Linked DNA regions of Caenorhabditis elegans. The protein of the gene in region 2 interacts with the protein of the main gene of each other region in a pairwise test. Each region holds a gene or a part of one and is shown on either strand. Other genes may lie near its edges.

What was found.
Region 1: the proteins of dyf-17 (region 2) and ifb-2 interact in a two-hybrid assay, tested with the Caenorhabditis elegans proteins (one large-scale study listed by BioGRID).
Region 3: the proteins of dyf-17 (region 2) and git-1 interact in a two-hybrid assay, tested with the Caenorhabditis elegans proteins (one large-scale study listed by BioGRID).

What each region holds. Positions count from the first base shown.
Region 1 is NC_003280.10:5,748,523-5,752,277, forward strand, and holds the start of ifb-2 (Intermediate filament protein ifb-2), read left to right. Parts: upstream 1-1,677; coding exon 1,678-1,741; intron 1,742-2,719; coding exon 2,720-2,913; intron 2,914-3,199; coding exon 3,200-3,321; intron 3,322-3,366; coding exon 3,367-3,726; intron 3,727-3,755. UniProt on the Caenorhabditis elegans protein: Cytoplasmic intermediate filaments provide mechanical strength to cells. Not essential protein.
Region 2 is NC_003283.11:19,125,490-19,129,244, reverse strand, and holds the start of dyf-17 (Verprolin), read right to left. Parts: upstream 1,721-3,755; 5' UTR 1,716-1,720; coding exon 1,623-1,715; intron 916-1,622; coding exon 841-915; intron 768-840; coding exon 598-767; intron 279-597; coding exon 136-278; intron 1-135.
Region 3 is NC_003284.9:10,523,090-10,526,844, forward strand, and holds the start of git-1 (Arf-GAP domain-containing protein), read left to right. Parts: upstream 1-1,808; 5' UTR 1,809-1,828; coding exon 1,829-1,853; intron 1,854-1,899; coding exon 1,900-2,019; intron 2,020-2,166; coding exon 2,167-2,248; intron 2,249-2,303; coding exon 2,304-2,375; intron 2,376-2,431; coding exon 2,432-2,584; intron 2,585-2,652; coding exon 2,653-2,836; intron 2,837-2,882; coding exon 2,883-3,188; intron 3,189-3,232; coding exon 3,233-3,429; intron 3,430-3,472; coding exon 3,473-3,673; intron 3,674-3,722; coding exon 3,723-3,755. Other genes in the region: Membrane-bound acylglycerophosphatidylinositol O-acyltransferase mboa-7, read right to left, coding at 12-186, 232-326, 373-521, 638-776, 1,027-1,156, 1,203-1,272, 1,315-1,468.

The DNA.
Region 1 (3,755 bases), on a different chromosome or scaffold from region 2:
AACACAAAAATGTCTTCGTTTTTGCGTCCGCGTTTTATCGGTTAAAAACGATAAGGAAACTTGAGCTCTACTAGGAATTGGAGTACGCTGTTTTATCAGTTCCAACCAAGCCTGCCACACATCTGTAAACAAATGTTAGAGAATATGCGAAATGAAGAACACGATAAATGAAGTTTGAATGAAAGTACAAAGACTAGTCGTGAGGACTGAGCAAGATGTATGGAGTTGTAGAGAATACCAAAAGCAAAATTCTTTAAACATCCTGTTTTTTGGTATTCATACTTTGGCTAATTTTATAAAGTAATTGACCACAAAAATGAGAAAGAAGCATAAACGGAAGAATTGTATTAAAAAAACAAAACACTGTATTTCCAAAAATTTCAAAATTCCAATTCATGCTGATTAGCAGCTCGCGGACTTTAATATTTGAAAAAGAAGAGGTGTGGTTGATTTTTAGTTTTTTAAAGGTTAAATAATTAAAGCGATGTTTCGAATTATTTTGGAATTCCAATCATAGTTTCAATTCGATGCTTTTTCAATTTCGAAAATGCACAATTTTTAAGAACTTTTTAGCAAGGGTTTTATGACTCACAAAACTCTTTAATCAGAATAAAATGTTAACCAGAACACTTGAAAAGTTACGCTCCGCCGGTAGGTAGGTCTTCCTACCTACCTAGTTATATTCGTCTGCAATTTGGCACAAAATCTAGAGGTACAAGACAGCGCGTAGGTAACCTTCGAGTTTTTTGTGCCTACAAGGGAATTCGTTCACTGTTGCAAGATTCACCTATTTTGTTGTTATCAAATTATTGCGATGAACTTTTAAGGAATTACTGTAGCTGTTTTTTTGTGAAAAATAACACAGATGGTCTTTTTAAGATAAGACACCTCAAGTTCAGTAGACAACAAGAGTAAACAAAGTTTTTTCAGGAAATACTTGTAGCTTTTGAATTACAGTTTAAGAGAGAATTGAATTGATGAAGAGATTTTGATTGAACCTTCACATCTTCAAAATTCTAGAATTTTTAAAATTAAACATTTTTGAATATGACAATACAAGCGAAAATATTCTGTCAATTAAATCCAGATAAATTTGTAAATCCTTAAAAATTAAATTGAAAGGAATCTAGAAGACAAAATGTTTCAGTTCTGAAATATTCCATTGTTGCCGATTATGTTCTGTTGTAACCTTATTAACATTTCATTCGTCATAGTTTCTAGTAAAAAGTTTCAGACTTTGCGGTTCTTAACACCTTTTTTCAAATGTCAACTTCCTCATCATTCCCAGTCAAATGTCATTTTGTTTCATAAATACAAAGAATGTAAGAAAGAGTAGTTTCTTTTTTTCTTCTTTTCACCCCCTCCCCTCCGTTTTCCATCTCTAAACTCGGACTGATAAGTCACCATAAAAGAGAGTGGAATCGAGCATTGCCAACTGATAACCCTCTTTCTTTGCTCTCTCAAAATGCCATTGTAAAATCAAACCTACTACTCCGCGTTTTGTACGGTTTGGTGTTAAGACTCTTTATTTTTTTGAAGATTGAACGTTTATTATTGGTGTTGGTTTTTTAACTGCTGAAAGTGTGAAAATAACATTGTTTTCTTATTCTATTTATTTTTATCTTCTTTTGTTATTAACATCTTTTGTTTTATTTTCAAAATTTTAGCGACTTCATCATGTCGGCGGTTAGTTATTCGATGCACAGAACCACCACAACTACATCCTCCTCATCACACGGAGGTAAGCACTTTTCTTCAAATTTCCAACAGTCACACGACCTCGAGAGTTTTCTCCGAGGAATCCATAATATGGTGACACTAGTTTGTCTGAAATTGATCTCCTCCATTGTCTCAATCTTTTTCTTTGTTTCAAATCTCTTTGTCGGCTTTATTGACACCGTTGTGAACTCCTTTCACACATTGCCGACTAATCCTAGCAGTTTCTCTAGATTATGGGCTTAAGTTAAAATAACTGATGTTTAAATAAAACCATAAGTTTCGACAAATTAAACTCGATCTTAACTTTTAATTCACGATATCAATAAAGAATTGAGACGAGAACTGCAGCGTAGGGACAAACTGCAAAATGGCCTGTTCCTAGATGGTAGCATATAATACTTTTCAGTGAAAAATCAGATTGTTTATGACAAGATAGATCACTCTTATAAGTAGGAATTTTCTGATTGCTAGCCCAAATTGTGAAAAAAAAAGAATAAATATGCCACATTTAACCAATTTACTCTGCTCCTGCTTTGCATTACTTTGACAAATCATATCTCGATTGTTATTATTTCATCAAATAATTTTCAACACTAAAATCACTCTACATTGTTATAATTAAACAATTTTGATGAAGCCTACAACAATTAATATGAGCTGTCAAAATGAAGCAGTGGGAGTGCAAGACTAATAGGAAAAACGGTATATAACACGGAAAATTGTATATCTTAAATCTCAAAGTACAACATTAGCTGTAACTAACTCTATTTTTTAAAATTTCTATTTTAATATTGTGAAAAAATTTGGAAAACAGAGGTTTATTCAGACTTTTGTTTTACATATTCGTACTAAATTAATTTTTAAAAAATGAGTTTGTATTGCTTTTTCCAAACCCTTCACAATAAGACACTTTCACAAAATTTAGTTTATAACAATAAAAAATATGGTCCTTCTTGGAGCACTGCTTAAACATCGGAACACAGTTTACATAATATTTCAGGTGTCTCAGCCGGCCATGCCGCTGAGGAGTTCGTTGCCTCTGCCGAGCGCGAGAAGCAAGAGATGCAGCAGTTGAACTCTCGCCTTGAAGTTTACATCAGCCGTGTCCGTCAACTTGAGGATCGTAACAAGGAGCTTGTGATTGAATTGGACACCCTCCGAGGATCACTTGGAAATGACATCGGACAGATCAAGGTTTGTGCCCCGAAATTACAGGAGAATCTGAAACACTTTTAGTTGTTGACACAATTTCTCTCTTATCAGATAATATCAATTCTTCTCAAACAAAGCGCCCGTTGCCAAATGTGCAGGCGTAAGGAATTTAAAAGAGAAACTGAAAATGGCACTGATAAGATGACAAGTAGTGCTCTGGAGGAAATGGGTGTGTATGTGTGTGTTAAGATTGCCAATAAAATTAATTGAAATTGATCTTGAGGGGTTAATAATGTTGCATCAGAATAATAAACTCAACGTTTTGTAGTTCAAATTCAACGATTCGTTGGTCAAAGTTCGCCGTGAGATCTCAGAAGCTCATTCTGGAACTATTGGAGTTGAAGTTAAGGTCGACAGATTGAGAGATGATTTGAATGACTACAGACACAGGTAACAATTTATTTGCATATTCCATTCTAATGGCAAATATTTCAGATATGAAGAGGCCCGTCGTGAAGTTGAGCGTGAGAAGACCACTTGGGGAGGAGCTATTTCACAAGCACAAGCTGAGCTTGACACAAACAAGTCCCGCTATGCCGCCATTTTGGACGAGGAAAAGAGACTTTATGCTGAACAAGATCAACTCTATCTTCAATTGGCTGCCGCCAAGGATGAGCTTGACGCCGCAATTGTTGATCGCCGCCGCCTTCAAGCTGAGGAAGATGACCTCAAGATTGAGCTGGAATTCTTGGGAAGAATCCACTCTCAAGAAATCACTGAGCTTCGCACTCTTCTTGCTCAAGCTCCAGCCGACACAAGAGAGTTCTTCAAGAATGAATTGGCTCTTGCTATCAGGTTGGATTCAAAAAAAATGATATAGTTTT
Region 2 (3,755 bases):
CTACATTTTTATAGTTTAAAAAGTGAAGTTTGCATATTAATTAGCGAAGTTACAGGCTTTTTAGAAAAAGAAAAATTACCAGACAAAAATTTTTTTAACCAATTTTCTTTTCAATTTTTCTCCTCAAAAACTTACATTTATGCTGCCGAAACGGTTGTTCCTGGAGCCATTGATCTGTGCTCAAGCTCATACGATCAATTCTCATAGCTCGGAGCTCTTCGGAAATCTCACGGAGACGGATTTTCGAGCGACGGATGTCGCTTTCCAGGAGAGGACCGCTGGAAAATTGGGTGTAACTTGGGAACTGGAAGTGATAGGTAAAAACTGGTCACTGGTAAATTGTAGAGCAGAAAATTTGCTATATTTTTTTAGTTTATAGCTTTTTGATAGCAGTTACCATTGCAAAGTTATAAAGGTTTAAAGTTTTTTTTTTTTTTTTGGAAAAAAAAATTGAAAATTGTGATTTTTTCAACCCTATGGAGTTTTTAGCTCAGGTGGGTACACGTTTGCCTATCAGTCAATAGGCCACAGGTTCAACCCCCACCGTGGTCAATATCTTTTTCTAGGTCAGTTTAAGCCAAAAATCATATTAAAAACCTCGTCGGAATATCCATTGGCTGAAATTTCGAGCTGAGCCGGGTCATGCTCCGACTGCGATTGTTCCGATTATTAGTTATATCCCATTGATAATCACTAGTTGATAAGCGGGAAAGCAACGGCTCACGGTGGTGATTTGAAGCATAGTGTGGGAGTTTTGGAAAATCTGCCTGAAAAAAAAAATTTTGAAAAAAACAATTTTTTTTTTATTAAAATTTTTTTTTCAAAATTTTAAATAAAAACCTCTTGATAGCTCATTGTGGGCAATGGGGGCTTCCATGTCGGGTATTTTCCACGTAGATGGTGCACAAAAGCATCCTAAAATAAAGACTCTTTTAAGGAGAAGCATGATTTTTCCAAAAACTTGTGTATCTCAAAAACTAGGGAAGATTTTTGAAAATTTGAAAGTACTATCATATAGCAAATTTTGCGTAGATCATTTTGTCAATTGACAAAATTTTTATAACTATGATGGCAAAAAAGTTATGAACGCTAAAAGACACACGACGCTTTTACCCCTGTGGAGATACTCTCTTGTAACTTTTTTCTGGTTAGTCATACAAAAAAATTATTAACTAGGAAACTGTAGTAAATTTTATGCTTAACATTTTCTTAGTTGAAAACTTTTGAGTAGCTTTACTAGTTTTTGAGATACAGCTGGTTTTTTGTGCCTCAAAATTTGAGGTACTGCGCTGGAATTTGAGAGAGAGAAACTAAAAAGTGTCATAACTCAGATTCTAGGAAAGATATTGAAAAGCTGTTAACTATTGATATATTGCAAATTTTGTGTAGATCATTTTAATAGTCGGCAAAAATTGCTCTAGCCTCTAAAGAGTTACAGCCTTTAGAAGCCACCTGACGGTTTTGACACCGTAGACGTTTCCTATTGCAATTTTTTTCGGGTTAGTCATACAATTATATTGTCAACTAACAAAATATAGGAAATTTGATACTGATCATTATGTTAGTTAGCAACTTTTTGATAGCACTATTGGTTTTCAAGATATAAGAGTTTTAGTCCTTACCCTCGCGGCCTTCGCGTTGTCCAGCCGCCTCTCCAACATTGCAATCCTATCATCAACATCGACTAATGCTTCTTTTTCGTTTTTTGGGAGCATTTCCTGTTAAAAAACATAATTTGACGTTAAAAAATAAACAATTTTCAAAAAAAAAATTTCGAAAAAAACACGAAATTTTTTGTGCAAAAAAAAATTTCCAAAACTTTTCGGGACTTTTTTCCAAAATCAAAATATTGAGCATGTTATATTATCATAACTACAAAAACTACAAACTACAAACTACAAACTACAGTATACATCAAAATTCTAAAATTTTGGCTCAAAAATCCCAAAATGGCCGTGCAACTGAGGCAGCTGTCACCATGGTGACCGTCTCCGTTTCTCTGCGTCTCTCGGGGAGCCAGCTCTCTCACATTTTGACAAATTTATTGTTTAGAAGCCTAAAATGGCAATATTGAACAGAAATTTCGAATGTTTCAGCGAAAAAATCGATTTAAAATTGGGTTACGGAAGCTTTAAAGGCGCATATAGCCAAAAATTGAGAAATCAGGTTTTTCTGGCATTTTCAACCAATTTTTAGAAATTTTTGTTCATTTTTTGCGAAAAAACGAAAGAAAACCAAAAAATTGAGCCAACAGCAGAGAAAAAACGATTTTCCGAAAAATTTAATGGTTACGGTAGGTTTAAAGGCGCATTGCACAATTTTTTGGGCTAAAAATGGAGAAACATGATTTTGCCCTACGGTTTAGAGTTTTTCATGTGAAAAATCTGGGAAAAACCAAAAAATTTGCTCCAAAAACTGAGAAAAATTGATTTTTTTTTTAAATTAAAAGGTTACGGTAGGTTTAAAGGCGCATCACACAAATTTTTGCGTTAAAAAGCAAAAAATTTAGTTTTTCTGTATGTTTCTTCAATTTTTTGTCAATTTTCAGTGAAAAATCAAGAAAAAACAGAAAAATTAACCCAAAAACAGAAAAAAAATCGATTTTTCGAAAATTTAAAAGGTTACAGTAGATTTAAAGGCGCATCACACAAATTTTTGGGCAAAAAGTTGAGAAAGTTGTTGAGAAAAACATTTCAACGTTTTCATGTGAAATATAAGGGAAACACCGGAAAATTAAGCACAAAACAAGGAAAAAACAATTTTTCGTAAATACTGAAAGGTTACGGTAGCTTTAAAGGCGCATTGCACAATTTTTTGGGCTAAAATGTAGAAACATGCTTTTTGCACTGATATTTATCGTTTTTCATGTGAAAAATCCAGAACAAAACTGTAAAAATGAGCCAAAACAAGAAAAATTGATTTTTTTGCAAAAATAAAAGGTTACGGTAGGTTTGAAGGCGCATAGCTGGCAAAAAATGTTGCAAAATGTTTATTTCAGCCCGCTTGATTGGCTTTTCCAGTAGAATTTGAGAAAAACGACTTTTGCCAAATATTAAAGGAATACAGGAATACGGTATGTTTAAAGGCGTATAGTTGAATTTTAATTTTAAAAAAAAACAAAAAAGAATTGCCCCGAACCAGGATCGAACTGGTGACCTCACGATCTTCAGTCGTGCGCTCTCCCAACTGAGCTATCGAGGCAGATGTGTGACACTCCTCTCGAGGCCATGAAGACAACAACTATGTACCCCCCCCCCCCCACACACTCAGCCCGTCTACCCGTCTAACACCCTCCGGCTTCCCCATTGTCTCTAGGAAGGCCGCGTGAGGCGGGGAGGCTGTCTCGGGCCCGAATTGATTGGGCCGTCTGCGGTCTCTTATGTTTGTGTGCTATCTCGTTGGGGGGTGTCTCCTGCCCAAAGGCCTCGGCTAATCCTTCATTCTTCCCGCCTTTTTCGCCTCTTGCTTATACCTTTTTTTTGCCGTTTTTACCAATTTTAGAGGTTTTGGAATAATTTTTGTGCAAATGTATAATAAGGTTGGAATAGTAATAATATTAAAAATTAATAAGAAAATGCGAAGAAAAAAAAACAAAAAAAAATCGCTTTTTCTCAAATTTTTCGAGTTATGCGCCTTTAAACCTACAGTAACTCTTTTCTTTTTGCAAAAAATCGCCGATTTTTATTGTTTTTTCTTGACTTTTAACGGTAAAAAGTAAAAAAATCCCGAAAATTCACAATTTTCCTAAAATTATT
Region 3 (3,755 bases), on a different chromosome or scaffold from region 2:
AAAGGACAAACTTTTGGAATATCTAAATTAACAATTGCGTCACTGCTCATTTCAATGTTTTCTCTTGTTTTCAGCTTATCGAAAGCATTCAAATCCGTTGGTCCCATGATGATTTTTGGATTTGAAGCAGCTGGGTAAATTCCGATTCCGAGAATAACACAAATCGACTCCGCAATTGCCCAGGCACTGAAATTTGTTAATACTATTACAAAAAGTAGTGAAATAACTAACCTGTATACTCTTGTTTTAAACACAACAAAAATTAGAGCAGCGTAGACGAGTCGAGTAAAGAATGAGACCTCCCAGATTGCATCCGATCGAAGTATCTGAATGGGCAAGTTTAAAAATGAAAAGCATTGTTGGGAAACGCACATCAAGTGGGAAATAGTGGTTCGTGATCACAAAAACTGGAACCGACCAGAGGAGACGAACAAATCTAGACTTCACTTCCAGTGTGGGATCCCATGATTTTAGAATTGGGTTTTGAGAATCAATAAGCATTTGATATGTGTAGTATGGTCCTGAAAACAATTAATAATAATTGCATATTGTTCCCAAATGTCTATTTAGAAATTTACTATGCAGAGTTTATTTGAGCAGCTGCTGAAATACACATTTCTGGTCAACTCAAACTAACCCGTGAAAAGTCCGCAAAAATGATAAAAGTAGGCAAACTTCTCCAAAATAGTAGGAAGCTCTGTTAAGTATCTTTTCGTCGGATTCTCATCGCTTTTGTGAACCCACGCGTCATTTTCTTCAAAGGTGATGCCAATTATCTGAAATAGTTTCAAAAAATAAATATTCCAGTAAAACACTTATTTTGGAAAATAATTTCAATCGTTGTAAGACCCATCGAGGAATGAGTCACTATTTAAACTCACTACCTAGTATAGAAATTTAGTGCAGTTGTTTCACAAACAATATATATGCTTTTTCTTTACTGTTTTTGAAGAAGGAAATATTTTCAACTATTACGAAAACAAACTCTCCGTAATGAACACGTCTTTTCTGAAACAAAAAACTTACTCTTAAAGTAATAATCAGTTGAATGACATTGGTGTGGCTGGCGACTTCGTTGACAGGCAAAATGTAATGCGCAAATCGAACAAACATCAGATAAGTGAATGTTGTGAGGAAAACGTAGAGTGGTGTGCTCCTGCAAGTTTAAATTAGTTTCTACTCGTTTTTTCTTGTAATATTACTTTTTGTTAGCCAACAGTTGAATCGAAATCGCAATCGAACAAATTCCCAGTGAATATACAATTTTTGGACCTGCAACATGCCATTTTGGTTTTTATTGTCATTTTCAATTACCAATAATAAAAAGAGACATAGCAAATCCGAGTGCTCCAGATGCCAATATATTATTTCCAATTTTCCGTACATAACAAGATGCTCCAAAAGAGAAAAGCAACAATCCGGTGTATATCCAATCATCTTTGGACATCAAGCCAAGGATATTTTCCATGATATTACCTGAAACAAAAAACGAATACTTTACAAGAATAAACCGTACTGGCGAACAAAAAATTAATGGCATAAACTGTGTACGTCGATAAATGTGCCAGCTGCGTGGGGAAACGCGTCAACACGCAGCTGACGTGTTTGCGGACGCATTACTACGAACACTTGGAGTGCGCACTGCGTGATGAGATCCGAAACGGCCTTGTTTGCAACTTTTGTCCCCCGCAGAATGATACAATCACTTTTTCTAGTCTTTAGTCGTTTCTTATGTTATTAGTGTGTGATTTTAACAGTTGCCGTCATTTTTCATATATCTTTTCATTCAATTTTCTCATATTTTGCAGGTAGTAATAGTGGTTGAAAAATGTACACAGCAGAGGCGCTTGACCGTAAGTTTTATAGTATTTTTCACAACAAAAAATGGATATTTTTCAGTCATAACATCACTTGAGCAAAAGGAATGCGATGACTGCGGCAAAAAAGAAGTCGAATGGGCGTCGGTAAAAAAGGGAACCGTGATTTGCTCCGAATGTTTCTGTTTTCATAGTTATCTTGGTAAGTTTAAAAAAACTTTAAATTTCTATTAAAACTTCTGAATACTATTCAATAACACCGACTATAAAATCTATAAATTTACACAAATTCTCCGTTGTTTTCCCAAGACCCCGGTTGTATGAAAATCGATAAATAGTACACTCACAGGCCCGTCAGTGAGCTATCTCCGTCATCTGCGCAAGAGTGCTTGGGATGAGGAGCATATTCGTCTTGTTCACGCTCTTAACACGTATGTTTTAGAATAGTTTAAACATAATAATGGAATTATCTATTATTTTTTTCAGATCTAACACCAACATGATATGGGAAAGTGCTTTATATGAGGGATCAACAAAGTTTCAGAAACCAATGGCCCAGTGAGTTTTTGCTATTGAATTAAACTGTAAAACAATTTTGTAAAACAATTTTGTAGAGACCCATCTCATATCAAAGAACAATTTGTGAAGGAAAAATACGAGAAGCTGACATTCCAACCGAAAAGAGGAAAGGATGAAGATTTGGAGAATAGTTTGAATCGACAACTCATTGCATGTGCTCGCAGTGATTTTGCTCATGTCACTTTAAGGTGCTTGTGACTTCAAAAACATTATAGGGACGAAGTTCATAGCAACAACACAAACTTTTAAATTTCAGACTCATCGCTCTCGGAGCTGATGTAAACTATCCTGATCCAGAAACTGGGGACACTGCACTTCATGTTGCAGCCCGAGAAGGCAATTCAAATCAAGTAGAACTTCTTTTCCTGTATGGAGCTGACATTATGGCACCAAATAGAGAAGGAATGCTTCCATACATTCTTGCTAGAGATGCGGGGCATGTAAGTTTTCTTACTCTCAATATGCTTGTTCAGTTAAGCATTTCAGGGCCAACTTTCACATCGCATTTATGAATTCTTCTTCTACGTTTTTGATCGCTTCTCATTTTTCATGTGCAATCGAAAAGCAGATCATAAGAACAACCAGGACTTTTTCATTCCTGAAGTCACTGAAAAACAATTCCTGACAAAAACTAATGATTCGAGAGCAGCGATCTCAGTTCTCCCGAAAGGTCAATTCTTTGACCTATGTGAAGATGCGTTTGATGAAACAGTTCGCAGAGAAAATGAAGTCAACTGGAACATGACAAAATGGGCAAAAACTGCCAAAGGGCCAACAAACCTTTTCTTGCCGGTATAGTTTTATGAAACCCATTCAAGCTATAAATATTTTTATAGCCAACTCCTCAAATGTCAGCTGCTCGCAACCAAAGAAGACAGAAACTTGCCAAATTCACTCCAATTCAGTTCACAATTCTCCTGATAGACTTAATCAAAGACCAAAAGCGCAGAATCACTGGAGACAATCCAGCACCAGTATCCGAACCACCCAAGAATATGCGAAAGTCAAACGACACTCCACTTAGAATTATGAAGTTAGTGGATCTTAGACGTGTGTAATTTAATTTGATCTTACAGAAAAAGCGAATACGCCGATTATGATGAAGTAGCTGGAATATCATGCAGTCCAATTTCGGGAATTGTTCCCAACTCTCAGGCTAATACGTTAGATGAATCGAGCAGCAGAGTGTGGGACGAACTATTGGAAATGAAAGAAAGACTTTCAAGTACCGAAACTATGGTTGTAACACTTACAAAGCAAAATGAGGAGCTGACAAAGTGAGTTGATATCACAAAAAAACTTTCTTTATGCTATGTTTCCTTGCAGGCTAGTTCATAGCTTACAAGCCCAAAACATCAA